4 linked regions of the Notamacropus eugenii genome follow. The protein of the gene in region 2 interacts with the protein of the main gene of each other region in a pairwise test. Links are inferred from orthologs where the notes say so. Each region holds a gene or a part of one and is shown on either strand. Other genes may lie near its edges.

Region 1 (7,832 bases), on a different chromosome or scaffold from region 2:
CTATTTTAATTAAAAAGAGAATCCTGGAAGAAATCCCAAGGAATAAGTATCAAAGGTGGATTTTCAGACACCCACCTGTGGAAGGTAGGTAGGGGAATTATTTTAGTTGTGGTATCCCCTTTGACTCAAACTACAGAAAGGATTTTCTATTGTGCCTATGCATGAGGGCATCCCTGTGCTCTGCCTTATCTGTACGGCCTGTGTTCCACGCTTGGAGACACACACACACACACACACACACACACACACACACACACACACACATACACACAAACGGATCATAGAATTTTGAGCTAGAAGGAATTTATAGAGTTATATAAGCACACACAGCCACACACACCCTCACATTCAAGTGTCCAAAGGATGGATTCTCCTCTGGGTACCAGAGGACATGAGGCAGAAATTTCAGGAGCCCCCAGTTCTCCCAGGGACCAGGTCAGACTTTGGGGAGGCCATTTCAACAAGATGTAAGCCAGCAAGTTGGGGGAGGGGGTCTCTAGTTTACACAAAGTGTTTTAAGGTTTGCAAAGCATTTTTCAGACATTGTTTCACCTGATCCTCACAACCATCCCATGAGGTAGGTGCTAGTATTATTATCATCCCCATTTTGCAGAGGAAGAAACTGAGGCAGATAGAGCAGAAGTGACATAGATAATAAGCACCTGGGTTAGGATTTGAACTCGTCTTCCTGACTGCAGATCTGGTGCTCTATCACCTAGCAGCAATTAAGCTGCCCTTAGTAGTGGGGCATCCTGAGAAGATTGTTTTGGGGGTAAGAGTCAGTGAGTCAGTCCACTATCCTTTATTAAGCCCCTACTATGTGCTGTTAGAAGGAGGGTCAGAGCTATTTTTTTCTTTTTCTCCCTCTCTAAAACCTGGGTTGAATAAAGCCTTCCCTGACCCAGTTGAGCAAATAGTTTCTCTGGTTCCAAGTACTAAACATCAGAATGACCCAATTCTAATTATTCCTCTTCTGGCACTTGGTGATAAGTGGGGCTGAGGGTAGAATAACTAGGGTCCCAAATTTCTGTGCATTGGGGATCACTTTGATTTCGATGTCAGATATTTAGAAGCAGTGAAGGTGCTGGCATACACCAAGCAGTCTTTTGAGAATAGGCAAAAGACTGGAGACTCAGATACATAGGACCTACTATCTCTGTGACTGGGTGAGCTGCCAGTGGGGTCCTCCCATAGGACCTGGGAGAGTCTAGAAGAGAAACAAAGGCCACACAATGATGAACCAGGGTTCAAAGGGTGGGGGGAAGGGCTGGCGGAATGATACAATAGAAAGACCCTGCATTCTAATCCCAGCTCTAATACTTGTGTGATATTGGCAAATAATTTCCCTGCTGAGAACCTCAGTTTCCTCATCAGAGATATTAATACTTGCTCTAACTGACAGAGTTGTGGGAAAACACTCTCTAAATGTTAAAGAAATGTGAGTTATTACTACTACTACCACCACCACCACCACCTAGATCTTCAAGTGACAAATTGTCTAAGAGCAACATAGTGGGATCTGTGTATTTTCCTCCCATGATTTTCTGCCTGGATGGTTTTTGCCCTTAGATTCCTCATTCCTTGAGTAGTCTCTTGTTACCAGATTGAAAATCATTTGCTATCCGTCGATATCTGATTTCTGAGGAGGGGGTTAGGGTAAGAGATAAAGGATAAGAGCCCGTCCCCTTTCTAATATGTAAGGAAACAGAAGCGTAGTCTGATTCAAGTAGAATCTTAGAGACTAGAATCCCATAAGTCATCCAATCCAAACTCTTTTTATAAATGCAGGGTCTTGCAGGGTCCGGTCAACTAGGGGATACTCAGAACTTCTCCTCCATGACTCTGAAAGGAAATTCGGAAGTGACCCTTAAAAGGTGAGGAAGTTCTGAGTTCGATCTTTCTCATAGAAACATCTCATCCCTTCCTCCTCCCCAAACAGATGCACACTTTCTGTACACATACATCCACCACTGCTGGGAAGAAAGAGCGTGAGTCTGAGCCCCATTTAGTTGGGAAGGAAAGGGGACCCCAGAAATCTACCCCCTCGACCCCGCCCCGTAACCATCAAGTCTACACTGAATGAACCAAACCACCTGGACTCAGCATTCCCCAATCACCCCCTTAAACGCGACCCCATCTAAACAGATCCCCAAAGCTGGGGCTGTAGAGGGGAGGTGTTCAAGGTGCGGAACCAGGTCCTAGGAGAAGAAGGGAGACTGGGGGTGGGGGGTCAGAGAGTCCTACTAGGAGGAGGAACTCTGGAGAGGGACTGGGCTAGGGAGAGTATTGAGGAAAGCGGCAGGATTTAGGGAAGGGACTGTCCCAGTGAGGATGTCTGGGTGCAGGGAAGGGCTGCAGATTCAGAGAAGTCTAGGACTGGGGAAACGCTCGGGGCTCTGTCTTGGGAGAGGAGGAGAGGGTGGTGGTGGGATGGGGGTGGAGAGGCAGGAAAATGGGATGGGGTGGGAAATGAGGATCCCTCGGGATGCGAAAGGGAGCAGGATCTGATTTACGGAGAAAAGGGAGGGGAGAGAGTCCCTGGGAGAAGGAGAAGCTTTCATGGGGATCCCTAAGGATGGGAGACCGGGAAGCAGGGGGCTAGGGATGGCTGAGAAGGGGGAACTAAGATCGTGCGGAGATCAGAGATGCTGAGACCGTAGGGGAGACAGTGTAGGGATGGGGAGAGGTGGAGGAGAGGAAGAAAGCTTTGGGGAGGGGGTGCGAGGAGGAGGGGGCAGAAGTCCGGGCCGGGGAGGGGCTCCGGACAGGGTCCGGTGCTACTCACGTCCAGGATGACCGAGGTGCCCCTCCGGGGCGGGGACGGGGCCGTCGGCGGGGTGGGACAGAGCCCGTGGCCAGTCCCGGCCCCCGGCCCGTCGGCCAGCGGCTCCCGGGGTTCGCCCATCCTGGCTCCCACCCAGCGGAGCAGCCCCCCCAGCGCCCGGCCCTGCGGCGGCGGCTCCCGGAGCAGTCTGTGCGCGCCGGCCCTGCAGAGGCGCGCCGCCCGCTCACACATCGCTCGCGCAGCGCCCGCCTCCCGCCTCCCGCCTCCCTCCCGCCGGAGCCGCCGCCACCACCGCCGGCCCGACCCCCGCCCCCGGCTCCAGCGCCCGCTCGCCCACGCGTGGCCACCTCTCCCAGCCCGCTCCGGGCGGCGCCGGCGCTGCAGACCCCGCCCCCCCGGACACCGCGTGGGATGCGGGACTCGGGACGCGGGACCCAGGCTGGGGGGCGGACAGGACCACATCGCCCGGCAGGGGGGCGCTGGAGCCGGGCCTGAGCCTCCATCCCCGTCCATCTTGGGACCCCAACTCCCCAGGACCCCTAACGTCCTCCCTCCCTTCCTCTTATTTCTGGGGATGATGAGGGTGCGGTAGGGATAGGGGCTGCTTCCAGAGGGGATAACTGGGGGACGTATTAGGGCATCTGGAATCCGTGAAGTCGCCGGTCCGGGCTGAGCCTGAACTGAGAGAGGAAGGGTGGGCTGCGCTGGCCAGGGCCTCTGGGACTCAGCATCTAGGAAGGGATGGAGTCCAGCCTAGGAGAGCCCCTGAGGCCTCCAGCACATCGATTCTTCCCAGCATCTTTCGCTGTCTCTGGTCCTTCGGCTTGCAGGGACAGGCGAGTAAAGAAGAGTTTCCCTAAGTCAGGCACTCCCTCTGCCGGCAAAAGCCACAGAACTCTCTTTCACAGGACTCTTGGGGCTCCTGGAGCATCCTTCCCTCACACCCTTCCCAGGGACCTGAGCATTGCCTCTAACATCCCGTCACATCCAGTTCCCCCAGACTTTGATTCCCTCTCTCTCTCTCTCATTCAATAAAATTTAAGTCAACAAACATCTGCTTTTTACGAAAAGAAAAAAAAAAGTCTGTCCTCAAGGAGCTTATATTCTGAGGAAATACAGCATGGATAAATAAAGGTTAATACAAGATGCATACAAACTAATTTCAAGAGTGAGAATGCTAATAAGGGGGAAACAGATATGATTTCATGTAGCAGGCGACACCTGAAAGGGGCACTGGTGAAGGAGGACAGTATTCTAGACTTGAGACAGCACTTGGGGAAAGGGATGGAGGTAGGAGAGGGTTGTATGTGGGGAACAGCTAGTTTGATTGGGCCTAGGATTGTGAGAGTAAAATGGAAGACAGACTGGAAATGGTTGAGAGCCATGTTGTCATGGGTCTCAAATTCTAGGTTGGGAGCCACTGAGGATTTTTGAGGAGGCAGATGACAGGGTCAGATTTGTGTTTTAGGAATATCGTCATCCATGGGATAGCTTCGGGGACGAGGGATTGGAAAGGGGAGAGGTTGTTTTCCCTTGTTTTCGAAGAGGATCGTGACATTAGGAAGATAAAGCCATGACATGTAACTGAAGTGGATTTAAATGAGGCAGGGCTGTGCAAGGTCACTAGCCTCATGTTCTCCTCTAGAGCCATCTGGATCCAGTGGCAAGATATAGATCAGGACAACTAGAGATGGCCCCACCAAGAAGGGAGAGACTAGAAGCAAGAGGGCCAAACAGAAGGATGTTGCAGGTGGTAAGGTCTTGAGCTGGGGTTGAAGCTGAGTGAATAGAGGGTCCAAGATGTTCTGGAGGTAAACTGACATAATCTGGCAAATGATAGGGGAGAGGGGGAGGGACAGGGAAGAGTCACGGAATGTTATGAGCCTACCCCTTCTCTCCCTCCCCCCACATCTTGTCAGTTTCCCACTTGCCCATTCACAGGCTCCATCCTTAGGACTCCAGCCTTTTACTCAGACATGGTCAGAGATTTGGACAACACAGCCTCAACTTGAGGTGGTTGGATCGCCACACAAGGACAAGCTGGAACATCACAAAGACAAACTCTTCAAGAACATATTTTGGCAGCCTTTTGGTTTATTCAAGATGTAATTCTGGGGAAGAGCTGAGGCCCCTAACTTCCTAGGGCTGAGTTCTACCATCAGTGTTGCTCATTGGCCCAGGTTTTGGGGCCTTGGGAGCCTGAAGTTCCAGAAGCCTGGAAATCTCCAGTTTGGGTTCAGGAAATTTTGAGCTGGTCAGCACTAAATAAACTTCTCAGACCCTGGTTCAGCCAGACCCACAAACTGTACTTTTCCCAGGGCATGGGTCAGACCTTTGGGCAGCCTTGACATTTTGGTCTATTAACAAGGAACTGGTCTTTAGAATCACCGCCCTTCCCATTTCCCCCGTTTATATACATACACAGTCTCCCTACAGGGAGACATCTCTTTAGGGGAGGCCCATGTTGGGGTCCAGGCTCATGTCTGAGTCCCAGTCACTATACCAGGCAGGACTGAGCAGGTCTCCTTCCTTGTCTGAGCTGGGGCTGTGAGGTTGGGGGCATGGAGGGTGGGCAGGGGTAGTCCTAGGGGGGCTTCCTATTTTCTTTTAGCAGGGAGCTAGCTACAGCCAATGCCCCTCCCTGCACAAATCTCACAAAGTTGTCTCCCACCAGGGGCCCCATGGCATAGAGGCGCCTCTGCCGGGTGCTCTGGTAGGTGAAGGGGTCAACCTCAATGGGGTTCCTCTTGGGGCTGAGTGGTTGGTCTGGGTCCACAGTGAGGTCAGTGCCACCATGGGCCAGGAATGAGAGGTCAGGGTAGGAGCCGATGAGGACCAGCACAAGGGAGACCCTGAATACCCTGTGTTCCCCGTTCTGATCATGGAACACAGCCTCATGGTCCTCCTGGAAGAGCAGGGGCTGATGTTTTGGCAGGCTCAAGTAGCCTTTGTAGCGAGTGGAGGAGCGGACAGATTTCTCCCGCATCATCTGGTGTACTTTTTGGTACTCTGGGTACATTGTCTTGGGGAGTTGGTTGAAGATGAGACCAGGGTCATCCACAGGCCGGCGGAATGCATGGATCACTGGGAGGTTGTAGCGTCGTGCATACAGGATGGCATCAGCTGCTGAGAGCCCGGCCCCAACGATGAGCACGGGGTCAGATGTGGGGGTTACATCCCCAGCCTTCATGGCCTCTTCTAAGGCAGACAGGTCATAATGAACGTAGGGGAGATCCTCTCCAACAATGCCCAGCCGGGCTGGGTTGTCTGATGTCCCTGTGGCCAGGACTACATTGCGCGCACGGAATCTGAAAGGCTGCTGGCTCCCATCTGTGGAGGTCATAAAGCCACTCACCACGAACAGGGGGCTCCCATCTTGCTGGCTCCTGGTCTCTCCTGACTCCGTGCTCCCAATGTCCACAGCTGTGACCACAGTTCCACAGAAGAAGTTGTGGCTCAGTCCCTTCTTCACCACATAATCCTGGTAATAATGGGCGATGTCTCCAGCTGTGGCCCGGCTGTCCCGCAGTCCCCTGTATGAGGAAACGCAGAGGTCAGTCTCAGGGATCTGAACTAGGTAGGCACATGAAACCTTGTACCCTTCAGAAAATACAGAAAAGCCTGGCCTACAACTTCCTACTATGTCTAGTTACTCATCTGTTATAATTGCTTTTCCAAAGGGACCGGTCCATTAGCTTCTTTGAGGACAAGAGTGCTGGAGTCCAGAAAACCTGAGTTCAAATGCTGCCTCAGGACTTGTATCTGTGTCAGGGACATTTACTATCTGTATGACCCTGGGTGAGACACAACCTCTCTCTGTCTCAGTTTCCTCATCTGTAAAATGGAGGTAATAATAGTACCTACCTACTTCCTGGGCTTATTGTGAAGATAAGGTGAAATAATATTTGTAAAAGTACTTTGCAAACCTTAAAGCTCTATACAAATATATTTTATAAATATTATGTAATATAATATAAATATATTTTCCATATAAAGCTTTTGTTGTTCAATCATGTTTAACACTTTGTGACCCCATCTGGGGTTTTCTTGGCAAAGATACTGGAGTGATTTACCATTTTCTAGTTCATTTTCCAGATAATGAAACTGAGGCAGACAAAGTTAAGTGACTTGGCCAGAGTTATACAGCTAGTAAATGTCTGAGGCTGGATTTGAATTCAAGTCTTCTCGACTCCAAGTCCAGCACTCTAGTCACCTAGCTGCCCCAATATAAATGGGCTATTAACTATAGTCCATCCAGATTGGGGTATGTGATGAGAATTTCCATCCATTCCCTTCTCCTTGAGGGGATAGAGATTATAACAGGAGAGTGTTGGAAGGGGAAATAGCCAAGGGCAAAAAATGGGGGTGGGGCAAAGGTTGAAGGGGAGGACACTCTAGACAGAGTTTAGGTAAGGGTAAAGAATGAAAGGTTGGGGCCCCATAAGTTGTGTTGGCCAACATAACCTAGGGCTTGAACTCTGAGCAAACTCAGACTACAAGTTTTGAGTAATTTTTGTAAACTACATTTTTGTAAGCTTATTCTTCTGTTGTGGGGCTGGGAGGTGTGTGGGTGGCTATGTTTTAAGGATCATGGAATGCCAGTACTGGAAGGGATTTGAGCACTCATTTAGTCCAGTCTCTTCACTTTAGAGATGAAGGAGTAGACCCATGACCTGAGTCTCCAGGCTCTTTCCCATAAATCACTTGTCCCCTTAGCTCTTTAGTAAAATGTCCTTTTTGCAGTCTTGCTAAAGCATGCCCCTCCTGCCTCTCACTGGGGAGGGGACATGCACTTGCCAGATTGGCCAACATGCTGATCTGCTTTTCCTTAACTGACCTTCTTTGTTAGAAGGCAGGGTTCTACTTTTGTGGAGGAGTGATCACTGGAGAGTGACAACAATGAAAAAAATAAAGAGCATGCAAAAAAAATTTGACTTCATCTCAGGATCTATGAGGAGACTGTAAGTAGAAAGGAATCAGAACCACATATTTAGAAATGGAAGGCTATGAGTCCCACTGCTTTATTTTATACATAAGGAAAGGGGGG
Region 2 (7,933 bases):
GGGCATCACATATGTACAGTTTGTATAGTTCATGACCCAACATGACACCTTTGCTATTTACTGTTTTGTAGGGAAGGAGGAAATCCCACAGGCAACATGCTAATAAAAATTGTTGGGTTTTTTTGAGGGGAAGAGGATAGCAAGATCTAAGGATTTAGGCGAACTGCAAACTCAATGTCAAAGTGTGACTTGGCAGTCAAAAAAAATTATCTTCTTTGGATGTATTGAGAGATGTAGATCCTAGGAATGGAGAGATGGGAACAGGGTTATAGTTCAACTGGGGTCTCTCCTCATCAACCCTCATCTAGAACACCGCATTTGGTTACGGGTGCCAAAGTCTGAGAAGGACATTGATAAACATAAAAGCTCCAGAGCAAGGCAACCAGGAAGGTGAAGGGTCCCTAAGTTCATGTTACGTAAAGATCAGTTGAAGAAATTGAGCATGTTTAGCTCAGGAAAGAGAAGGCTCAGGGGGAACAAGGTAACTACATTTAAGAGGCCTGAAGGGCTCTCATGTGTAAGTGGGACTGAAATTTATTCTGTTTGGTCCCAAAGGCAGAATCAAGAACAAAGGATGCAAGTTGTAAAGAGAAAAATTAAGACTTAATATCAGGAAAAACTCCCTCACAATTAGAGTTATCCTTGAAGTGGTACAGGTTATCTCAAGAAGTGGTAGATTTCCCTCCCTCACATGTTGTCAAGCTGAGGTTAAACAACCATTTGTGAGGTGTGTATAGTAGAGATTCCTTTCATGCATCGTTAGATTCTATGGGCCACTGAAGTCCTTTCCAAATCTTAAATTTATGATTTTGGGAGACGAAAATAGAAAAGAGAAGAGAAAAGGCATTATGTTTTAGCGGATAGCAGCCAGCTCTCAAGTCTAGGAAGTCTTACTTCAAGTTCTAACTCGGACACACTACATGAGTTACCATGGACAAGTCACTTACAAGGTCCCAGGCAACTGTTGAAGACTACAAATTACAGACAGGTGACTAATCTGTATCAGCAGTGGGTGCTCTCCACATTAATGAAGTCATAGGTTTGGATTCCTTCCCAAAGTTCATCCTGTGGTTATCCACCTTCTAGTGACAGATCCTCTCTGATATGAGCTAGACTGGAATGGGTATGAAAGACATGCTATCTACCACCAGATGAGTAGTCAAAGCCTTTCTAGTTTGGGAAGACTACCAGAGCTCGGTAGGTTATATTACTGGTTATATTTGCCATGGTTTTTCCTTTAAAATGTTCATTAAAAAAATTAGACAACAATGAAATCAGGTATCTTCATAGTCAAGGCTTAAGAAAATTCCCAATCAAGCAACAGATACAAACAATTACAAAAGATGAAATTGTCACTTTCAATTACATAAAATGTAAAAGCCTTTACATGAACAAAATCAAAGTAACTGAAACAAGAAGGTGAATCATTAATTGGAGAGAAATGCCACATTTAATATCTCTGGATAGAGGTCTGATATCCAAGATCTATATAGGGAACAAAGATATATAGCCACTCCCCAAAACTATTCCCCAATAGATTAAGTGGTTTAAAAATGAGAACAGACTTCAAAAGAATAGCAAACTATTAACCACAAGAAAGATTACTTCAAATAATAAGAGAAATGCAAATGAAAACAACTCTAAGAATCCACCTCATACCCAGCAAATAGGTCAAGATGCCAAAAGATGGGAAAGATCAATGTTGGAGGGGCTTCAGAAAGACCTGGATACTAATACTATATTGGCAGAACTGTGAGTTACTCAATTTCTGGAAAACAATTGAGAATTATGCAAAAAAGGTGTGGGTGCTAAAAAATGTCCATACCTCTTGGTCAAGAGACCCTACAGATAAGCCTATACCACAAGGAGGTCCAAAATGGAAAGTCTCATATTATACCCTAAAATATTCATAACAGAATTTTTTGGAATAGCAAAGAATAAGAAAACAGACACCAATGGACAAACTAGGGTACATGAATGTAACAGATTATTACACTCTAAGAAATGAGAAATATCAAGAATTCAGAGAAGCATGGAAAGAGTTGGAACTGATAGAGAGAACTAGGAATTCATTTTCACTTCCCTCTCATCCTCAGACAAATAGGCAAAATATACACAAAGTTAACAATGTAAACAAAAAGACCAAGACGAAAATAAAAAACATGAAACTAAATGCTATGTAAATTACAGTAACCAAGCTTGGCCCCCAAACATAGCTTCCTCTCCTCTATGTATAAGTAGGAGACTGTGGGCATGGACTATATAAAACGATTAGTGACAGTTCTTTTGCTGAACTGTTTCCCTCCAACATTCTTAAAAATTTTCTTTTTTTCACAAGAGATAGCTTGCTGGGCAGAGGAGAGTGGGTAAGGTTATAATTCAAAATGAAGGCAATATAAAAAGAGATAAAAAAATAAGCTTTAAAAATATTTTAAGTAAGTATCTAGGTTTTGCCTCTCTAGTTCAATTGTGAAGATTATCTTTTCTAAATATCCTTTTACATGTGTATACCACTTAACACTTTTCAAAGCACTTTCATATCTCATTTTATCTCCAAAACAACCTTTTAAACTGTAATTCCCAATATACAGCTGATGGAACAGACAAAAGATTTGTCTAAGCTCACAAAGCAAGTAAGTAGTACAGAAAGGACTACAATTTAAGGTCCCACACCCCCTATTCCTAGTGTGTGGGTCTTTTCATCATTTCTACTTTTGCATTTTAATTCAAACCATTGGTACAGAGTTTCCTTCCCACAGAGTGGACAGTATATTGAGCCTCAGTGAATGGCAAAGGAAGTGGCCAGAGTGATAGTATAGGGAGTTCCAAGACAGGAAACAAACAAACAAAAAGTGTAGAAAGATTTCCTCTTGGTTCTCAACCTTTAGACTGAAAAAAAACACCAAAACTCTTACAACTGAGCGTCAGGAGTTCAGAAATACTAATGAATAGCCTTGAGCAGAAAACTGTCTCAGCCAGAAAGATGTCTAAGGACATTAGCATCTGGAGAATCTACTAAGTCTGAGCAAGGTTCCAGCTGTCCTACTTACCACACACTGACCTTGGCTGCCCATGGTAGAGGCCGCTGTGTGGTAGGTCTCACAGTCCACGCAGAATGTCCCCTGCTTCTCTGCCCCTAGCAGTTCCAACTTCCTGGTCAGGATCTCCACGGTCTGCTGGACACTCTTACCCTCAGCCACAGGCATCTGGGACACACTAGAAGGGTAGTGATGAGCCTTCAGGGTCCACATAGATGTGAACAGGCTCCCCCAGCTTCTCATTCAGCAAAGGAAGCTGGTAGCCCCAGATCCCATCCCAGCCAGAGTCCCATCCCTGCTGGGAGATGCCACTGCTCATATGCGAGAAGCAAAACACTACAGGCAGTCTGTGTGTGGCTTTGGCCCAAATGAGAATTCTCCAGAAAAAGAAAGATAAGGATATCCTAGGGATCACACTAAGCATATCATTCTCCCAATGCAGCAGATGTTTCTCGTTTTCTGCTTTTTACCTAGTTCCCTTTGCTGTCATACACCTTTCCCCTCACCATGCCAAGTCTCAGAAAGAGATTACTGATTGAACTCTGGGGACTACTAGCTGGCAGTCAGTAACTTGCAAGTGCCAAAAATAACTCTAGAAAGGAAAGGTCTTCACAAGCTCTCAGATGTGGCACCAAAAAGTTGTGCCCTTATCTGATACCTTCTTCGGTCAAGAAGCATTTACTAAGCACTACGTGTGAGTTACTGTGCTAAGCGCTAGAGGGATACAAAGGAAAGATAGGGTTGACAATGACCCCTCAGCCCCAGATGTGAAAAGCAGACCACCAGGGCACTGTTTCTCCTTCTCCCTCTTCAACATGATGGGTTTTCCAAGCCGGGCCCAACAGCCTTCAGAAGCTGGCTCCTTTCTCCCCCTTTCAGTGCCAGGGATAATGCTCCCTCCCGCCATCCCGGGAGGATGGTGATCAAACTCTGGTCAGGCAGGAGATCCCGTCCCCCTGGTCCAGCTCTACTGCGGGGTGTCTCGGGCTGGAGGTCGGGCGAAGGAAGAGGAGAAGCTGAAGCCTGCCACTCAGTGACCTCCAGGGCTTCCTCCCGCCCTTCGCCTTCCCCTAAGAACAGGGAACTGCCTTAAAGTCTCCCAGAATCTCTAAAAACCTACAATTAAAAAAAAAAACCTACAAAACCCAAGCGTAAACTTCCCCCCAACACACCCACACCCCCACCAGGCCTGCAGCGCCCCCAAAGCGGGGACGGGTTGAGAGCTGGTAGATGGAAGGGCCTGACTCACACCCGAGCCCAGGCATCCCGCCCCCACCCACTCATCCCAACAAGACCGGGAAAGGAGAAGGGTCGGGAGGAGGCCTCTGCGGGGACGCAGCGCCTTCTCCGTACTCCCTCGCGGTCCGGCCCGGGTGCCCAAGGAACTCTGAGACCTCCCCCCTCCACGTGCAACATTCGCGGCCCTACCATGTCACCCCCATGCTTCCAGGTCGCACGGGAGTGTGTACGTTGGAGGAATCCGACGCCGCGGCCTCGCCTCTCCCTCCGCTCTCCCGCAGGAAGCCCCACTTCCAGGCCTTGGTGGGAGGTGGACGGAAAGACTGTAGGGGAGAGAGAAGGGGGAGGGGAGGAGGAAAAAGAGGAATCCGGAAGTGATGCATTAAGTCGGGCCTCGGAAGTGACGTATAAATAAAGCGTCTCAAAGAGAGCACCAGCCGCGGAGTTGCCAGGACTTGGGCGATCACCCCGACTAGGAGCTCCGCCCACTTTCCCCACCCTAGAGTAAGGCGGGAGGTTTCTAGGAATTGACTCGCGACCTAAATACTCATCTCTGGAAGACAGAACAAATCCAAACCAGGGCTACAGCTACAGTGGGCAACTACGAGTCCAATTCACATAACGCGAGCCGTCGTACGGCGGGGGCCCCGGGAGGGGCCTGGTGACGTCTAACTTCAGGGGGCGGGGCCGGTAGGGGGGGCACCGGAAGCTGAGTTTCCGGCCTCCGATCGCTGGGAGGCGCTGTGTTCCGCCAATGGAGCTTGTCTTCTAAATCTGGGAGGTGCAGAGAATGACGCGCTGCTTGGCGCCGGCGCAGTCCATATTCCTGCCAGTTCCCCACGTGTGTTTCAGAGGAAGGGGTGGTGGAGACCATGCCCAAGATCAAGTCGTCCCGTAAGGCCGGAGGGCAGGCAAAGCATGCCCCTCTGGCGGACCAGATCCTGGCAGGGGACTCCGTACGGCCCGGAAGCCGGGAGAAACGGAGGGACCGAGGCCGCGGGACGGAGGAAGAAGAAGAGTACGTGGGGCCCCGGCTGACCCGGCGGATCCTACAGCAGGCGCGAGAGCAGCAGGAGGAGCTAGAAGCTGAACATGGCTCGGGTGACCAGACAGCGCCGAGAAAGCCCACCACGCGGCTGGGTTAGTGAGGGGGTCGAAAGGGTCCTGCGGGAAATAGGGGAGGGGGAGGAGCCGAGAAACTGAAGGCGGAGCTTCAGGGAAACTTGTGGGTTAGTTACCTTGAAAGCACACTCGCTAATCTTCCACCTCTCCCTGTATACTAGCTGCTTTCTTACTGCCTACAAACATGCACGCGTCTCCCTTATCCTCAAAAAACCCCCACTTGAGCCTTCCATCCCCCCCTCCATCCGACTATATCTGACTCCCTCTCTTCTGCAGAATTTGAGCAGTCTGTTTACAATAGGTGCTAACTTCCAATTAACCTTCCTCTCATTCAATTCTTTGCAATCTGCCTTCTGATCTCATCATTCTACGGGCCCTGATCCCTCCAAGGTACCAGTTATTTCTTACTTTGCAAATCTCTACAGCTTTTGACACTGGGTCGACCTCCCTCTTCTTCCTAATACTCTATTTTCTATGGGGTTTTGTGACACTACTGTCTTGATTATGTCCTGGTTCAGGGTTGGGGAACCTGCGGCTTCTAGGCTTCTAGGTCCTTGGGTGTGGCGTTTTGACTCAGTCCAAGTTTTACAGAGCAGATCTTTTTATTAAAGGGATTTATTCTGTGAAGTTTGGATTCAGTCAAAGGGCTGCACTTGAGGACCTAGAGGGTCACATGTGGCTTCGACGCCGCAGGTTTCCCACCCCTGTCCTGGTTCTTTTCTGCCTGACAGTTCTTTTGCTGTCTCCTTTGCTGGACATTCATCCAGGTGAAGCCATCTATTTGTGAGTGTGCCCAAAAACCCTGAACTGTTCTGTCTTATTCTTCTCTATTACTTTATTTGGTGATCTCATCAGTCTCTGTTGATTCAATTATAGTCTCTTATCATACATATGATTCTTATAGAGTTTTTTATCCATCTCCAACTGACTATTAGACATCTTGGTTGGTATATCCCATAGACTCCTCAAAGTCATTATATCCAAACCAGAACTTGTTAGCTTTCCTCTAAAACCCTAACTTTTCTATTACTGTCAGGAACCTAAGAGTCATACTGTACTCTCTTCATTCTTTCTCATCCCACTATTTCCAGTCAGTTGGCAGGTCCTGTGGATTCCATCTTTGTAGAAACTTCTGTATGTTCCCTTTTTTCCTCTTGACACTACTACCCTCCTGGTACAGACCCTTATCACCTCATCCTTGTCTATTGTGTAACCAAGTCACTCCCCAGGTCAGTCCGTCCTCCACCAGAGGTGTCAAACTGTTCTTCCTAAAGTTCAGATCTCATCATGTAATTGTGCATTTAGTAAACTTCAGTGGGTCTTTTATCTCCAGGATCAAATATAAATCCTATTCAGCTTTTAAAGCCTTTCATAACCTGACCCCTTCCTACCTTTGCAGTCTTTTAATATTTTACTGTCTTCCACATACTCTACCATCCAAGGATTCTGGTCTTCTTGCTGTTCCTTGACCAAGACACTCCATATCTCTACTCATCTTTTCATTGACTCTCCCCCTTGCCTATAATTTTCTCCCTCACCTCTGCCCTCCTGGCTTCCTCAGCTTCCTTCAGGTTTCAACTGAAAATCCCACCTTCTGCAAGAAGCTTTTCCCAATTCCCCCTAAAGCCTTCCTGTTGTCTTCCCATTAGATTGAGTTCCTTGGAAGTGTCTAATGTTTTTGCCTTTGTATACCTAGTGCTTAGCACATAGTCTAACACATAGATGACACTTAATAAATGATCATTAACTGGTGACTCAGGCATGGAGGCGCATAGGCCATGAGAGGGAGAGGGAACCCAAACAATGATGTTCATTCATTTTCCTTTCCATCTCAGTAGACTTCTCAGAATTTTGCACCTGCATAGGATCTTAGAGGACATCTGATAAGGGAAAAGTGTCAAACATAGCATTTTTATTTGTTTGTTTACATCTATTGTTTAGTTATCCTTTTCTCACTTTTCAGCCCAGACCTCTCTGCTGCTTTTACTACTACTACTGACCACCCTCTCCTCCTGGATAGTCTCTCTTCTTTAGGTTTTCAGACAGTTTGTTCTCTTGCTTCTCCTACTTCTCTGACTCCTTTGCTGGTTTATAATCCATAATCACACTACTTAACTGTAGTTATACCCCAGTAGTATGCTGGTAAATGTTTAACAATCAGCTCTTCCACATGCTTTTAAGCTTAATCTTCATAATTAAGTTTTCTTCATATCTTAAATCTAAATAATCAGCAAAAAAGTAAATCAAGCTCTCATTAGTAGCATTTGCCATTTTCCAAGGTATAAATCCTTACATTGAAAATCTAACAGTCCCAAGAATAGTTGGGGCTGGCTCCAGTACATCCCTAGTGTACCCCAAGACTATATCCTGACTATGATCAAATTTTGTGATCAAAATTACCTGTGCCTGTTCACTTAAGCGTTAGCTGAAATAAAGTGAAAATATCTCTATAGAGCAGACAAAGCATTTTTATACATTTACTATGTGCCAGGTACACAAATGACTCCTAAATCTCTTTATCTGACTCCAGTCTA
Region 3 (7,682 bases), on a different chromosome or scaffold from region 2:
AGATGGTTATGCACTCAGTGCAGCCTCTCAGACTGAAATGCAATAGAGTATGGATCGATTCTCTCCTACTTTTTCTAATTTTGACCTCCTGACACTTAATACCAATAATATATAGGTTCCTCACCAGCTAACACTATACTATCTCTTTGTGGAACTGTTAGTTATAACAAATGGAGAAATTTTGAATGATAAGTTCACTTACCTTGGCAGTTTACTTTCCACGGGTCCACGTAGATTATGAGGTTGACACATGCAATGCCAGAGCTAGCTCAGTGTTTAGGAGGCTCTAAAAGAAAGTGTGGGAGAGAAGAGGTATTAGACTGCTTACCAAACTGAATATCTACAGAACCATTGTGCTGATCTCATTAATGCATCCCTGTGAAACCTGGACAGTATACCAGCATCATGCCAGGAAAATGAATTACTTCCATTTGAATTGTCTTAGGAATATTATGAGCATCACCTGGCAGGATAAGGTACAGGACATTGAGATCCTTTCTCAAAGTGAACTGTCAAGCATTCAAACTACTGCAGAGAAGGCAGCTCTCATGGGCTGACCACATTTTTCAAATGCCAAGCGTATTTTTGCCTAAAAGACCATTTTACAGAGAACCCACAAGGCAAGCACTGACATGGAGGTCAGAAATGTTGATACAAGGATACTCTCAATGTCTCTCTGAAGAACTTTGGAATTGATTGTGAGACATGGGTGTCACTGGCATAGGACTGTTTAGTGTGGCATGCCCACATCAAAGAAGGCACTGAGCTTTGTGATCAAAGCAGAATTGCAATAGCTCAAAAAAACTTGAGTTGTGCAAATTTAGAGCTGTCTTCATCTGAAATGTTCACAACTATTTGTACCTGACCTGTGGTAGACCTTTCCCAAATTGTATTAGTCTTATCAACCACAGTTGGACACATTATACTTTGACCCTAGCACAGTAATGCCATTTTGGTCCTCTTCAACCAGGAGGGACAACAACAAACCAACCTGCTTTCTGAAGATTAGCCTGTTGAAATGCAAAGGTTCATTACTAGTAGATTGACTATTTGGTGATGAATTATTTGGCAGTGAATGAAACAAATAAAAATACAAAGTTATTCTCAGTCTTTTATGATGCCCTTTTTTTCTCTAGTGAGTAACATTGTCAAAGTGTCAGAAAAGGGAATATTCCACAAGGCTTTGTCCTGCAGCATCTTCTTTCTATTTTGCTTGGTGAGCGTATCAACTCCCTTAGATTCAGTTATCTTTTTGCAGATAATTTTTATATCTGTTTACCCAGCTCTAACCTTTCTCTTGACCTTCAGGCTTGTATCTTGAACTATTGGACATCTCGAAACATATGATCTGTAGAAATCTTAAATTCACCCTGTCCAAAACTGAATTTTTTTTGTTTGCTTTTTTTTTCCAAACTCTTTTCTTCCTCACTTTCCCACTTATTACCACCCAGGCTTGAAAGATGGGTGTTTTCTTTGACTCCTTGCTCCTTCTCTCACTTCCATATCAAATCTGTTGCCTAGTCTTGTCATTTACACTTTCATTTTTTTGATTGCCCCAGGTACCAGCCCTCATCTTCTCATTCCTAGACTATTACAGCAGATTGTTGGTTGGTCTCCCTGACTCAAACCTTGCCCTCCTCTAGTGTGTTCTCCACTCAGATGTCAAAATGATTTTCCTAAAGTGCATATCTAATCATGTTACCCTTCCATCCTCCCATTCACTAAACTCCATTCTTTCCCCATTACCTTCAGAATCAAATATAAAATCCTGAGTTTGGCTTTTAAAGCCCTTCATACTTTATAACCTGTTCCCCACCTATCTTTTTAGTCTTCTTATACTTTATTCCCCATCACATACTTTTTAAAACTGATCTCCTCAATATTCTTTGCACAGGACCCTCAGTCTTCCTGGTTATGAGTGTTTTCAATGACTGTCTTCAAATGCCTGGAACTCTTTCTCTCCTCATCTCCACCTCCTAGTTTCCTTTGCTTGTATCAATTCCCAGCTAAAGTCTTGCTTTTAAAAAGAAGCCTTTCAAAGAATTGAACATTAAGGGGATGCCCATCAATTGACTGAGCAATTTGTGGTATGTGAATATAATGGAATATTGTTGTTCTTTTAAGAAATGATGAGCAAGTAGATCTCAGAAAAACCTGGAAAGATTTACATAAACTGATGGCTGAATGAGAAGAGAAAACCAGGAGAATATTGTACTCAATAATAGCAATATTATGCAGTCATGAATAATGATAGACTTAGCTCTTCTCAGCAATACAATGATCCAGGACAATTCCCAAGGGCTCCTGGTGCAGGATTCTGTCCACATCCAGAGAGGGGTGTATATAATCTCAATATAGCTTGAAACATACTATTCCAACTTTTTTTTTTCTTGTGGTTTTTCCATTCTAATTCTTCTTTCATGGCCTGGCTAATGTGGAACTGTGTTTAACATGATTGTACATGTGTAACCTGTATCAGATTGCTTACTGTCTTGGGCAGGAGGGAGAAAGGAAAGGGAGGGAGAAAAATTTGAAACTCAAAGTCTTGCAAAGATGAATGTTGGAAGCTGTCTTTACATGTAATTGGAAAAAAATGAAATGTTAAATACAAAAAAAATAAAAATAAAAAGAAGCCTTTCCATTCCTCCTCAGTGAGAGAACCTTCCCTCTAAAATTATCTCCAAATTATTCTGTAAATATCTTGTTTGCACTTAGTTCTTTACAGATTGTTTCCTCAAATAGAATTAAAATTTCTTGAGAGCTTAATAAATGCTTGTTGACTTTACAGAAAGTTCTGCAAATCACACAGTTTTCAGATAGTTTTTAAGCATTAATTTATGTAAATGTTGATACTTTATATCTTCTTTTCTAATGACTGGAAAGTAGATCTATTATTAAAGGAACCAAGTTGCATCAATCTTAATATTATTATATTAAATCTGAATCTGTCAATTAAAAAAACATTTATTCAGTATCTACTGTGTGCCATGTACTCTGCTGGGTGGTAGAATTAATCAAAATGAAATTAAAGTTAAATGAAAGAATTCTTCAGGCTGTTCTTGGAGAATCAGATAAAGCAGGTGGTGGAGTTGAGTGTGTTATTCATCCAAAGGCAGTGAGAAACATTCTTTCCTGGGACATTTGGTCATCTTGTACTACGTTGGCAGTGAACGTTTATTAAGCACTGTTGTGAGCAGAAACAAAGAGAAAACCAGACCCAGCATTCAAGTAGCTTATTTTCTAATGGAGGAAGACAACACAATGAAAGAACCTGAAAAGTGGTAGAGGAGAAGATATCCACATTTGAGCACAGTGCCCAGGTCCAGAGTCAGAAATATAGCCAGGAGGGGAATAAAGTATGACTGACCTCAGCCTATACCCAATGTAGGGAGCCACAGAAGGAACTCACCAATGGGAAAAGAAGATGTAAAGTTGTTTGAGATTGAGAAGGTGAAGGAGTCCTTGTGGTAAACTCTGGAAAGTTAGAAGCATAGTGACAAATATTTGTCAAAAGGCCACCCGCAGGTTATGTGTCATATCATTTGCAGAGAATGAAAAGGTAGAGAAATTTTGCAAAGATTTGATAAGGTACTCCACATTAAATTAATATGTATATACTTGGATGCTCAGTGATTGTTTTAAATAAATTTTATTTATTCAGTCAGCAAAAATCTGTCTTCTCCTTGCTCTTCCTACGTATCTCCCAATTGAGAAGGAAAGAAACATAAAATTACAAACATATTACATTACAAGCAAAACAAATTTCCATATTTCATGTTATATCTATCTATCTGCTTTTCTGTCCATCCATTCATCTGTTATGTATGTCTTTCTATCTGTCTGTTCATCCACCTAGCATTTTACCTTTCTTTCAGGAGATAAGTAGCATGTTTTATCATAAATCCTCTGGTTTTATGGTTGGTCAGTATTCTGATCAAAACTCATCTAATACTTAAAAATTGTTTATCTTTGCAATATTATTACATAAATTGTCCTCCCTTTTTTGCTCACTTTACTCTGCATCATTTTACACAATTCTTCCCAGATTTCTCTGCAACTATGTCAGTCATAATTTCTTATAGCACAATAGGATCCTGTCACATCTGTATACCTTAACTTATTGAACTATTCCTTAATTGATGGGTACCCTCTCAGATTCCAATTTTTTGCCACTTCAAAAAGAGCCAGAACTTTTGTATTGGTTTTTCTTAGGACTGTTCCTTTCCTTAATCTACTCTCCCTCTAATCTCTCTTCTTCCCTTTCCCTCCTATTTTCCTGGGAGGAAAAAGTGAGGCCAAAGACTTTGCACAGCCTTCCCTCCCTTAAATCTTATTCACTTGCTTGTCATGGCATCACCTTCCTCTTTGAGAACATGGTCCTCTTTGAGAACAAAGGGCAAACAGCATCAATCTATTTTACAGAATGAAGGTATTTCTACACCTAACTGTACATGTTCTTTCCTTCTGTGACCAGTTCAGATGAAGATGAGTTCACTTTTGACACTAACACATTCAAGTGTCACCTACTCTGCCCACTTTCCTTTCATTAGTTTAGACTTCTGCTTGCTCATTTTTATTGAAATAATTTTACCTAACCTTTATTTTTCTTCCCTCTCTAGTGTATTCTTCCTTTATATTTTCATTCTTCTCAAGATTATCAAGACAATAACAGGACCACTCCCAGGCCTTCTGTCTAATTATGACTCCCTCTGTGACCTGATCATGATAGACTTCAGAGGGGATGTGTGTGTCATCTCCCCATATTAGAATGTAAGCTGTTTAATTCTTATTTAGTCTTTTATGATTGTTCATGTTTATCTCTCACAAGTTTCATAAAGGACTATAAGACTTTCCAGTTTGATAAGATGTGGAAGATGCATTTAATGACCTGAAGAATCAGTTAATCACAGCACCTATATTGATATAATTGTACCCACAGAAGCAGTTCATAACTGCTTATGAAGCATTCATCTTTATTGTTGTGGCCTGTGAAAAGATGACCCTGTCAGATTTGTTTCATATCCGTGCATTGCTCCCTTAGAAGAAGGAGCTCCTCAGACCAGTACTTAACATTTGGAGGCATAATTTTGGGGTTTTCTTGCTTTTTTAAAAAAATAATAATTCATTTTTTCCTAATACATATAAAAAGAATTTTGAACATTCATTTTTTTAAAAATTTGAGTTCCATATTCTCCTTCTTTCCTCTCCCCTCCCTGTAAGGTGGTAAGCAATTTGATATAAGTTATATATAAAGGAGAAAAATAAGAGTTTGTAAGCTGTATGCCATTGAACTTGACTTTTTTTCCTAGCATAATTCTAGAAGATATTATTAATTTAATTCAATAAGTATTTATTAAGGGCATGCCATGTGACAGGTAGCATAATAGGCACAAAGGAGTCAAGAACAAAAAAAAGAGACAATCTGATTTCACAGAGCTTATATTTTACTTGGGTACACAGTCAGCACACAGGTTGTGTTTGTCCTTCGTTTTCGAAGAGGACCAAGAATCAGAGAAATGATGACATGACTAGCACTTGACTTTGTTTTTAGTGAGGGAGGGCTGTGCAAGGTCACCAACCTCACTTTCTTCTCCTGAGCCATCTGGATCCAGTGACCAGATATGCATCAGGATGACTGGAGATGGCCCAGGATGCAATGGGAGACCTTGGCCTCTTTGACCTTGGGCCTATTCAGGTACTCATTTAGGCCCATATAGTGAATAGGCCTGTTTAAGTAGTCAGGGAGTGGACCCTTTAATGAGCAAAAGAAAAATAACTAAATCAAGTTGAAAGGGAAGGGAAACAGTTACAAAAATACACAAATAAGTAAATATAAGATGCATGTGACACAAAAGTAAATTAAATTTGAGTGAGCAACACACTAAGAACTAGGAGATTCAGAAAAAGCGTCTTGAAATATTAACTAACTATAAAAGGAAAATGCTATCAATAATTAAGAAAGCTTTAGCTCAAGAGAATATATCTGTTATACAACATGGAATCTGTATTTGATTCAGGAGTTAGTTTTTAAGAACTGTATGAGCTTTCTGCCTGAATTGGTGTCGCAGAACTATTACTAAGGAATAGCAGTTTCTGTTTATCCTTCGTCCTTAAAGAGGATCAATGGCATCAGAGAAATTGATGTCCTCTTGCACATGAACTGCATCTGAGTGAGGCAGAGCTGCACCAAAGTTGTCAGCTTCACGTCTTCAGTCATTGAAGTCCAGTGGCAAGGCAAAGGTCAAGACAACTGGCTGCCCAAGAATCTTGTAGTGGGTGACCTTGGCCTTTCTAAGTTAAGATCTTTCCCAGGTCTCAGTTTGTCTGAGGTCACGCCCATTCAATGGCTAAGGACTAGGTAAGAGTTGGACAAAAGATGGCACACCTATGGAATAAGTGGTATCTGTCTGATCTCTACCTTAAAAAAACACTGGAAAAGGCCAAACAAAAATTTTAAATAAATTTTAAACACATTCCGAAGTAGTTAAAATGATAGTTTGTACAATCATGACCAGGATTTCTGTATGTATATTTACAGTACCAACAACCTTAGAACTCAGTGAACATCTAGACAAAGATGCAGAGTTCAGTTAGCATTATAGAGAACCAATCAAGGTGTACACTGGAAGTATGGAATCCTAGCTCCCTTGACAGCTACTCGAAGATTAGAGAAGTGCCAGACCTAGTAGTGATCAGAAATTGAAGGAGAAAACACAGTAGGTTCTCCAACAACATCACAGATTCAAACCACAGGCAACTTGACTAGGAGAGGAAACCTGAAACCTAGTCCCTTAGAGCAGAAGAGGGGACTGCCTTCCTGATCAGATAAGAACAACCAGTGTCAAATAAGGTTACCAAAGTCCTGCTGCAAGTGGCCAGAGCCAAGCTTTAAGAAAAAGTTCCAATGTGGAATTTTCAGGTAAGGTGGAAGAATGAGTGAACAAAATCCGAAAAAGAACCATGATGATGTCCCAGGGATGCCCAAGATATGAGCTGAAAAGAAGAAAATATTTCCAAATGATCTACAAGTAAAGTCTCCAAGTAAAACAGTATCTTGGCTACACAACCAATTAGAATTCCAAGAAGAAAAAGTTTAAGAGGTGGTTTTTGTTGTTGTTGTTTTTTTAAAGGGAAAGGTTAAACTTTCATTATAAATTTAAAAAACACTAACAGAAAGAACTGGAAAAGAAATGAGAGCTATGGAAGAGATTTGGAAAGAGAATTTATAGCTTAGCTCAAGAGGTATAGAAGTTTATCCAAGTAACAGACAGATTCATTGAAAATTAAGATAAATCATACAGAAATTAGACTACATAAGTAAACTAAAACAAAACCAAGTTTAAAAAATACCAGAAAATATAAGGCATTTTAAATTAAAAAACTCAACTGTAAAATAGGAGAAGGTAGAGATAATTTGGAATTCATTGGATTACATGAAAATCATGACCAAAATCAATCTATTTCAAGAGAGAATGAAAGAACTCTGTATCGGCAGAGTTAAAAATAGAATCCATTGAACATCTGAAAGAAACCCCCAGATGAAAATTACCAGGCATGTTACAACCAAATCAGAACTTATGAATCACAGAAAAAAATATTCCTAGCATCTAGGAAGAAAGAATTGAAATAACAAAGGAGAAGACTATATAGAACATAGTATCCCAAAAGACAAAAGATATATA
Region 4 (7,854 bases), on a different chromosome or scaffold from region 2:
CCAGCCGACCGAAGCGGAGAAAGTTCGGCTCACTCCAGGACGCTTTTAATACGCCTGTATTGTTGTTTGCATTAGCAGGATCGCAGCCATCGCCCGTCTGCTCCCATCTCCAAGATGGCGGAGGCAGCTTCAACCTCACCTCTCGCGAGGAGCTGCGGGCGTCGGCTCTGATTGGCTTGTCGACCCGAGGTAACGTTCAGTTGGATGCGGGCAACAGGCGGAGTCCCGACACCTTCGCGCAGAGCTGATTCGACCGGCCCTTCCCTCCCCCTGGGAGGCCATGGGGGAATGGGGCGGAGCCTACGGAGTTGGCGGAATGGGGCGGAGCCTGCGAAGTTCGCGGCGGCGAAGCCCGAGTTTATTTCTGGAAGGCCGGGTTGAGGCTTGGCTTGAGGGGAGGGGCCCGTCGTGGGAGCGGGCGGGGGATTGAAAGTCACGAGGGGCGGAGCGAGGCGGGCGCAGGGGGCGGAGAAATCACAAGCCCCGCCTACAAGCCCTGTTTTCTTGGGAGAGGCAGCGCTTGGAGTCCTTGAAATCGATAGAGGTGTAGCAAGCGCTCGGCCCTCACCTTATGAAGGATAGGGAATGCCTTGATCGGCCTTTGGGCAAGGTTTTCCTAGAAGAATTCTGTAAAGACAGGGCTGGAAGGTGCTTAGAGGTCTCGCCCCGAGTCCTGCCTCTCGAGGAGGGGCGGGCCGAAACTGCTGCTCACAATATCGCGGATCGATTCATCGGCGATAGCTCCGCTTCTGGGGGGCGGGGAAGAGGGAGGCGACTAATAATTTGAACCAAGCTCTGTAGGTGCCTTTTTTAGAACAGTGGTTCCTAATTATTTTTTATGTCATGGGCCCTTTTAGTACTCTGGTGAAATAATAATAATTAAGAATTTGCAAAGTACTTGGCCAACATCTAACTTCATCCTCACAGCAACCCCGAGGGGTCGGTGGGTGCTATTAAATCTAACTAGATTTAAAACAGAAACCAAGCAGGTGTATGTCCCACACAGACACCCCTCCAGCTCTTCATCATCTCCAGGATTAGATACAAAATCCTCAACTTGGAATTGAAAGCTCTTTATGACATTCCTCTCCCTGGCCCCTACCCCATTTTTTCAGTCTTCTTACTTGACCTCCTCCTTGTTGCTTTTTTTTAAAAATAGAATGTTGGATTTTTTTCTCTGTTGCACGTAAAAACGTTAGCATTCTTTTTTATAATTTTTGAGTTCCAAATTCCATCCCTCCCTTCCTCACCCCCCCCTTCCTTCAGAAGGCAAGCAGTGTATGTATGTATAGATTAAACGTGTTCAGTCACGCAGAGTATTTTCATATTGCTGCTGTCCGTTGGAGAAGATAACTGCATATTTTCGTTGGCTGTCCTCCGTGCCTGGAATGCTCTCTCTCCTGGCTTCCTCCAAGTCCCACCAAAGATCCTTCTGTAGGAAGCTTTCTCCCATCCTCTTTAATTCTAGTGCCCTCCTCTCTATTATTTACAATTTATTCTGTATGTAACTTGTTTGAACATAGGTTGTTTTAATATTTCACAGTCTTTTACTTTTCTTTGTATTCTCAATAAATTACTAAAGTCTTAGGTAATTAGTAATTCGATAATTCACAAAGAGTAGGTTTTAATAAATGTTTATGAACTCTTTGTGTTCCCCATTTTGCAAATAAGGGAACTGAGGCAGACATTAAGTGACTTGTTCAGGGTCACACAGCTGGTGTCCAAGGTCTGACTTGAACTCACATCTTCCTGGCTCCACATCCAGTTTTCACTGTGCTACCTAGTTGCCTAACTGGACTTCTCAAAAAAGTGTTTTTAAATTAATAAAATGCATAGTATTACCAAAAAAACCAATTATTTTGAAATACTTATCCAAACATGTTTTTAAAAAGTTTATACACCTCCTTAAAAACTCTTACTTGAAATTTGCTAATCCTCAGACTTTACAGAGGGCATATGACTTTATCCCACTTCTTAATGATGTACTGCCTCATATATATTTCAAAATATTTATTAAACACTTTTTGTGTGCAGGGCTTCGTACCAGTCACAGGAGGAAAAGCTGAGATTACAATTTAAGGAGCAGCTAGGTGGCTCAGTGGATAGAGCACTGGCCTTGGTGTCAGGAGGACCTGAGTTCAAATCCAGAGCCTCAGACACTTACCAGCAGTGTGACCCTGGGCAAGTCACTTGACCCCAATTGCTTGCCTCCCTTCCCCCCCCCCCAAAAAGAGAATGCTAATATTAGAGAACATTAGCCTTAGAGAATGTTAACATTTCTCTTGGAAATTTTACTCTAAAGCCTCATCATTCATTATGTGGAAGTAACCCTAGGGTTTTTAATAGCATACCAATGGAGCACAGTTTTTGGCTGGGCCTGCTAAATTGGAAAGATTTAGAATAAACTCCAATACCTAGCATGTGATTGGAAGGGGATTGGTGCTATTGCAGCCCAAGACAGTGCTAAGTTTTGGAAGGGCTGTTATATGCATTGGTAGACTGAAGTACCCAGAGGGAGGAAATGATGGCCCTTCTGAAGTATTAAAAAATTAACATAAGGGAAAGGAAGTAATATTTAGGAAGGGGAGATAAACCATTTCTCTGAATGTAGAGTAAATGGAAGGATCTTTCAAAAGTGGTTCTAAGCAGCATTCTAACCCTTAACCAAACGAATTCACCAAGTATCTATGAAGCTTCTTCTCTGTGAAAGGTACTGGGCTAATTTTTGGAGAGTCAAAAATGACTTTCCCTTAAAAGACTTACCTGTTATACTGATGGATGTGTCAGCGTTCACAGAGAAGTCAGTCACAAAGGTAATTTGAGGAGAACATTAACAAATACAATTATGGAAGTGCAAGGCTTCACTCAAGGGGCACATTTAGTTAAGCCTTGGAAGAAGGGATTCTTAGATGTGGAGATATGATGGGAGTGAACTCAGGCATGGGTTTATGTCTTTGAATGCCCAGATTGGAGGAGAGGTTCCAGGAACTGCAGCCCTGTTTAATACGAATGTGGAGCTCAGGAAAGGAGTAACAAAATAAGGCTGGAAAGATAAGGCGGAAGAGTTTATATTTTATCTTAGAGGCAGGAGGGATTCTGGCAGCTGTGTCAATAGTCACTAAACATTTATTAAGGCCAACAATGTGCTCGACACTGCTTAGCAATGGGAATTCAAAGAAAGGCATGGAACAGTTTGCTTCCCTCAAGAAACTCAGTCTAATGGGGGAGGGGGGGGTGGGGAATGGGAAATGATCTCAGGAGATGTGAGTTGCAGAGTGGAATTCATTTTGCAGAATGATGAGTTTCTGGAGGTCAGGAAGTACTGGAGAGCACCGTTGGGAAACAATGAGGTGAATTCCCTGGATGCCCTTCTTCAAAGATGAAGGAGCTCTCCAGGGTCTGTCCTCCATCCTCTCCATGGGGAGGCATACCGGAGCCACAGGGTTATGGGGAAGTGTGAGTTTCAGAGTTGAATTCTTCTTGCAGAACGATGAGTTTCTGGAGATCATTCAGGACAGCAGCCAAGTGGGAAATGAAGGAGAGATGGCAGATAGGAATGGCTGGAAATAGGGAGTTACAAAGGGCTGAATTAGGGTGGTGACTGTGTGGAAAGAGGGGCATAGATTTTATGGAGGGTTAAAGGAGAAGACGTGGCAAACCAATGAATATGAATGACAAAACCTAAGATTAGGACATAGTTATCACCCACCTGTACTATTATAATACATAGGGACCCTTAACTTGGGGTCTATGAATTTATTTTTAAATATCATTGGATTTCCTTTGTGATCTTATATGGTTTACGTATTTAAAAACATTATTCTGCTAAGGGGTCCATAGACTTCACCAGATTGCCAAAAGGGGTTCATGATACCAAAAAGATTAAAAACCTCTGACCTATACCCTAGTGTCTTCCCATTTCAAATACAATGACTTACACTCACTTCTGAGTATTCTATGCTGGGGGAAGGTGATTTGTCTGGCAGCCTGGTGTGATAATTTGGTTACTGGCCTTGAAGCTGAAAGATCTGGATCTGAGTTCTGCCACTGCCACTTTTCTGTCCCAGTGATTCTGAGCAAGTTATGCTCCTTACATCTCTGTTGTATCCTCTGTAAAATGGGGGTGGGGCTAGTAATTCACAACAAGATTGTTATAAAGAAAGTGCTTTGTTAAATAAAGCACTCTAAAAATGTGAGCTATCATCATCATTGGCCTCTTGCTTAAAACCTGACTTGCCTCTTTCTGTTAATGGTCTCCATTTCTTGGTGTTTTAGGCTGTAAACCACAGTATTATTTTTTACTTCTCCCTTCCCTCTAACCCCCACATTCTCATTTTTCTCTTCTGTAAAATTAGATAAAAATAGCTTCTATCTCACAGAATTTTGAAGATAAATGAAATAATGTTATGTAAACAACTTTAAAAACCTTGAAATGCTATGTAGCTGATTTAGAATTTATGCTACCTGCTGTTTGTCCTTGTTCTCCAAGAGGACCATGACATCAAGGAGGAGACGCCATGATGTGCAAGTGAAATGGATTTAAGTGAGGGAGGGCTGTGCAAAGTCACCAGCCTCAATTCCTCCTCCAGAGGCATCAGGGTCCAGTGGCCAGATATGGATCAGCACAACTGGAGATGGCCCAGGATGCAGTGGGGGTCTTTGGCCTTTTCAAGCTAAGTTTAATAGGTCTCAATTTGACTTGAGCATCGTGCATTCAGTGATTAAAACTTAATAAAAAATGAGGCAAAGAATGGCCTCTTTAAAAAAAAAAAAAAAAAGGATCTGAGACGGGAAGACCCTCAAGGTTTTTCACCAAAACAGAAACGATTGTTATTTTCATTCATTTTGAGCCAATCAGGGCCCAAACTGAGACCAAGTAAGGTTTGGTCTAGGACTACAGTGATTTGGAGTTAAGGATGCTCTTTTATTAAGAGAAAAAAAAACAAAGCTTCAGAGAGTAAAACTTACATTCCCTTTGGGCAGAGCACTGGCAGGTAAGTGTATGATACCCTATGTGGAGGGAGAATAAAGAAAAGGAAGGAAGGAAAGGAGAGGAAGAGGAAAGCAAATAACCTGTGTTGCCCACCTGTCAGGGAGGTAATACCATGACATGCAAGTGAGTTTTTATGATATATGATAAGGATTTATGAAGGGGGTAGGGAATGGTAATACTAGTTTTACAGGCCTTACAAAATAGTTTCTTAAAAAGAACTAGTTGAGGGTAAGGGAGGGGGAGAATTTAGGACTCAAAATCTTATAAAAGTGAATGTTTTAAACTAAAAACAAATAAAAAGAACTAGTTGACATGGCATATTCCCAAATCAGATCAGAAGCATTAGCTCTTTCTGACATTTTTAAGAGTTCTATTTTTATAGAAAGTGCAACATTGGGTGGAAATGCTAATTTGGTTTATTAACTATAATGATATAAAACTGAGCTGTTCTTATTGATCAGAGCCAGCTAATTAATCAGTCATATAGAAAATTAGTGCTTGGACAAAGAATTCTTATTTTAGTATGGATATAAAAGGGCATTTTTAAATACTTGTTTTTAAAAGTAAAAATAATTTAAGATATCAGATGTCATGTTGCTTTCAAGTAATTACTGGTTCTCTTTTTTTCAATTTCATTTTTAAAAGATTCAATCTTATCTGTAGAACAGTTTGTAAGCTAAAACATCATCACTAGAGTGGGAGGGTGGTGCTTATTAATTAATATTGAGTATTCCCCAGAGAGACATATTATTCTGTCCTGGCTCTGCCTTTGTGGTAGACCAAGGTATAAGGATGGTGTTAGTCGAAGAATATATGCTTTGTTGACCTGTTTGGGAAAAAGGCTCAATTCTGATCACAAAAAAGGAACCAAAGGCAAGAAATGTAATAATTAGACTTTTCTTGAAAAGGCAATCTGATTATGACTAAATATCATAAAGGACTTAAAGTACCTACTTACGTAGTATTCTAGGGAGCAAAAAGATACATGCAAATAAGAACAGCGAACATTCAGAGCAGATAGTTTTCAGAAAATTCTGAGAAAATTTAAAAGTTAAACATGAATAAACAGAGTCAAAAGGGAAATTCATTTTCCTAGACAAGGAAGAAAAAGCACAAGTTAAATGGGCAAAGGCAAAAAGTCCTGTGTAAGAAAATCATGGTGTTATATGCTAATTGTCCAGTCTGCTAGTTTTATTAGTTGTGACAAATATGACAAATACAAATAAGAAATGAAAAAGCACTTAAGCTTTCACACATTTGAGTTTGGAGCCATGGCTAAGCATGAAAGTTGGCTTATTTTTCTTCAAAACTTACACATGACTTAGAGTCAGGAGGCCTGTAGTTTTCAAAGGGGGAGCAAATAAAATATAAAAGCCTATGAATGTAGAACCAATTAGTAAGAGATACCACACTCATTTTTCAATTTTTTTTGGCACATGGCAAAAATTAATATAGTAAATTATAGGTACAATGGGATGCTTAATACACATTAGTAATAAATGAAGCAGGAACAACAGTTACATCGAATACCATTTCATGGTACCATTCCACGCCTGTCTTAAAAATTTCTGAGCACATCCATTACAGAAGTAATAGCAGAACAAACATTTGAGATAGGCTGCTTTTATTTGAAAGAGCAAATTACTTGCACATAAATTCAAAGCTTAAACTCAAGTATTATTTCTCCATAACAACAACTGTGAGGTAGATTCCACATAGTAATAAGGGATTCAGGTTACTTTTGTGTTCTTGTTGCAGTGACGAAGATTCACCACTGAAAAGCCAGAAACTGTGGTGCTTGTGACATCTGACCAACGGACGGAGTCTGGGCAACCGTCTAGACTCCCCAGATAATTGATCAATTTACTATATACTCCTGGGGGCACTCTGTATAAATCACTTTGATTTGTGTGATTTTTTACCTTGGATCATGGGAGTTATAGCTGAATTCAAACACTGATTAAAAAGTGAAGTACTTTACTTGGTTTAAATACATTAAATTTAAAATCTCTTTATATCCATTGCCAGAATTGAATGCAATGAACTTAAGACGGTCCATAAATTTTAAAATGTCCTTTTTTAACTTGATGTGGTTTCAAATATTACAATTCTTAAAATGCTACAAATTGTGATAAAAAAATACCTTTATCCAGCATATTAAAATAAAATCAATGTTTATCAGAATTGTAATAGTGGGTAGTGTAGGTAGAACATACATACTGAAAATTTCCTTTTTCCACAGGATAATTCAATTTTGTACCCTAAGTAAGGTTTATCCTTGACTTGAAGGATTCCAGAATCCCTCAGTTGAGTAAATGTAGGTATAGCAAAAATTCTCATAGCTGCTATTCTTCCCTTTTATGATGAGTCACTGTAGGGATTAAGGTTTTATAAACAATAGTGAGAAAGTATCTAGTCCATTTTCTGCTTGAGATTCACACCTAAATTATCCCACAGAAATGAAGAAATATATCCAGAGATATATTCTGGTCTTTTGCTCCAAATGATAAATCCCCAAATCCTTCTTACCTAAATACAATATGGTATGTCACCTTTCATATCATTTTTGTATCTACTGTAGACATCAATAGCCAGTTATTGTCCTCCAGCACAGAAAAAGCTGAAATAAAGTCATCATTATTGACATTTTAGAGTCAGTACCAAGTTGATGTCTGTATCTGAATGAATTACAGATAAGATTTTCTGATTATTTCCCTCTTGATGCCAAGGACAGTATTACACACAGTAGGGGCTCAATAAATGTTTACCAGTAAGGTTAATAGTTTTCATTATCTATCATCACTGATAAATTAGGAACTAGCTGTCCCTTCATACTGTTACTGTGACAAAGCTCATTAAAA

Evidence for each region.
Region 1: the proteins of BYSL (region 2) and NECAB2 interact in binary tests that used the Homo sapiens proteins (3 or more experiments, as listed by UniProt). The two-hybrid records come from large-scale screens. The link is inferred for Notamacropus eugenii from reciprocal best matches to the Homo sapiens genes BYSL and NECAB2.
Region 3: the proteins of BYSL (region 2) and HMBOX1 interact in binary tests that used the Homo sapiens proteins (3 or more experiments, as listed by UniProt). The two-hybrid records come from large-scale screens. The link is inferred for Notamacropus eugenii from reciprocal best matches to the Homo sapiens genes BYSL and HMBOX1.
Region 4: the proteins of BYSL (region 2) and THAP1 interact in binary tests that used the Homo sapiens proteins (3 or more experiments, as listed by UniProt). The two-hybrid records come from large-scale screens. The link is inferred for Notamacropus eugenii from reciprocal best matches to the Homo sapiens genes BYSL and THAP1.

What each region holds. Positions count from the first base shown.
Region 1 is NC_092872.1:697,729,910-697,737,741, reverse strand, and holds the start of NECAB2 (N-terminal EF-hand calcium-binding protein 2), read right to left. Parts: upstream 3,017-7,832; coding exon 2,786-3,016; intron 1-2,785. Other genes in the region: OSGIN1 (oxidative stress-induced growth inhibitor 1), read right to left, coding at 5,370-6,318. UniProt on the Homo sapiens protein: May act as a signaling scaffold protein that senses intracellular calcium.
Region 2 is NC_092873.1:102,944,848-102,952,780, forward strand, and holds the start of BYSL (bystin), read left to right. Parts: upstream 1-4,922; 5' UTR 4,923-5,149; coding exon 5,150-5,417; intron 5,418-7,933. Other genes in the region: MED20 (mediator of RNA polymerase II transcription subunit 20), read right to left, coding at 3,062-3,216, 4,467-4,660. UniProt on the Homo sapiens protein: Required for processing of 20S pre-rRNA precursor and biogenesis of 40S ribosomal subunits. May be required for trophinin-dependent regulation of cell adhesion during implantation of human embryos.
Region 3 is NC_092872.1:608,575,757-608,583,438, forward strand, and holds the start of HMBOX1 (homeobox-containing protein 1), read left to right. Parts: upstream 1-4,669; 5' UTR 4,670-4,741; coding exon 4,742-4,770; intron 4,771-7,682. UniProt on the Homo sapiens protein: Binds directly to 5'-TTAGGG-3' repeats in telomeric DNA. Associates with the telomerase complex at sites of active telomere processing and positively regulates telomere elongation.
Region 4 is NC_092872.1:617,706,157-617,714,010, reverse strand, and holds the start of THAP1 (THAP domain-containing protein 1), read right to left. Parts: upstream 3,013-7,854; 5' UTR 1-3,012. UniProt on the Homo sapiens protein: DNA-binding transcription regulator that regulates endothelial cell proliferation and G1/S cell-cycle progression.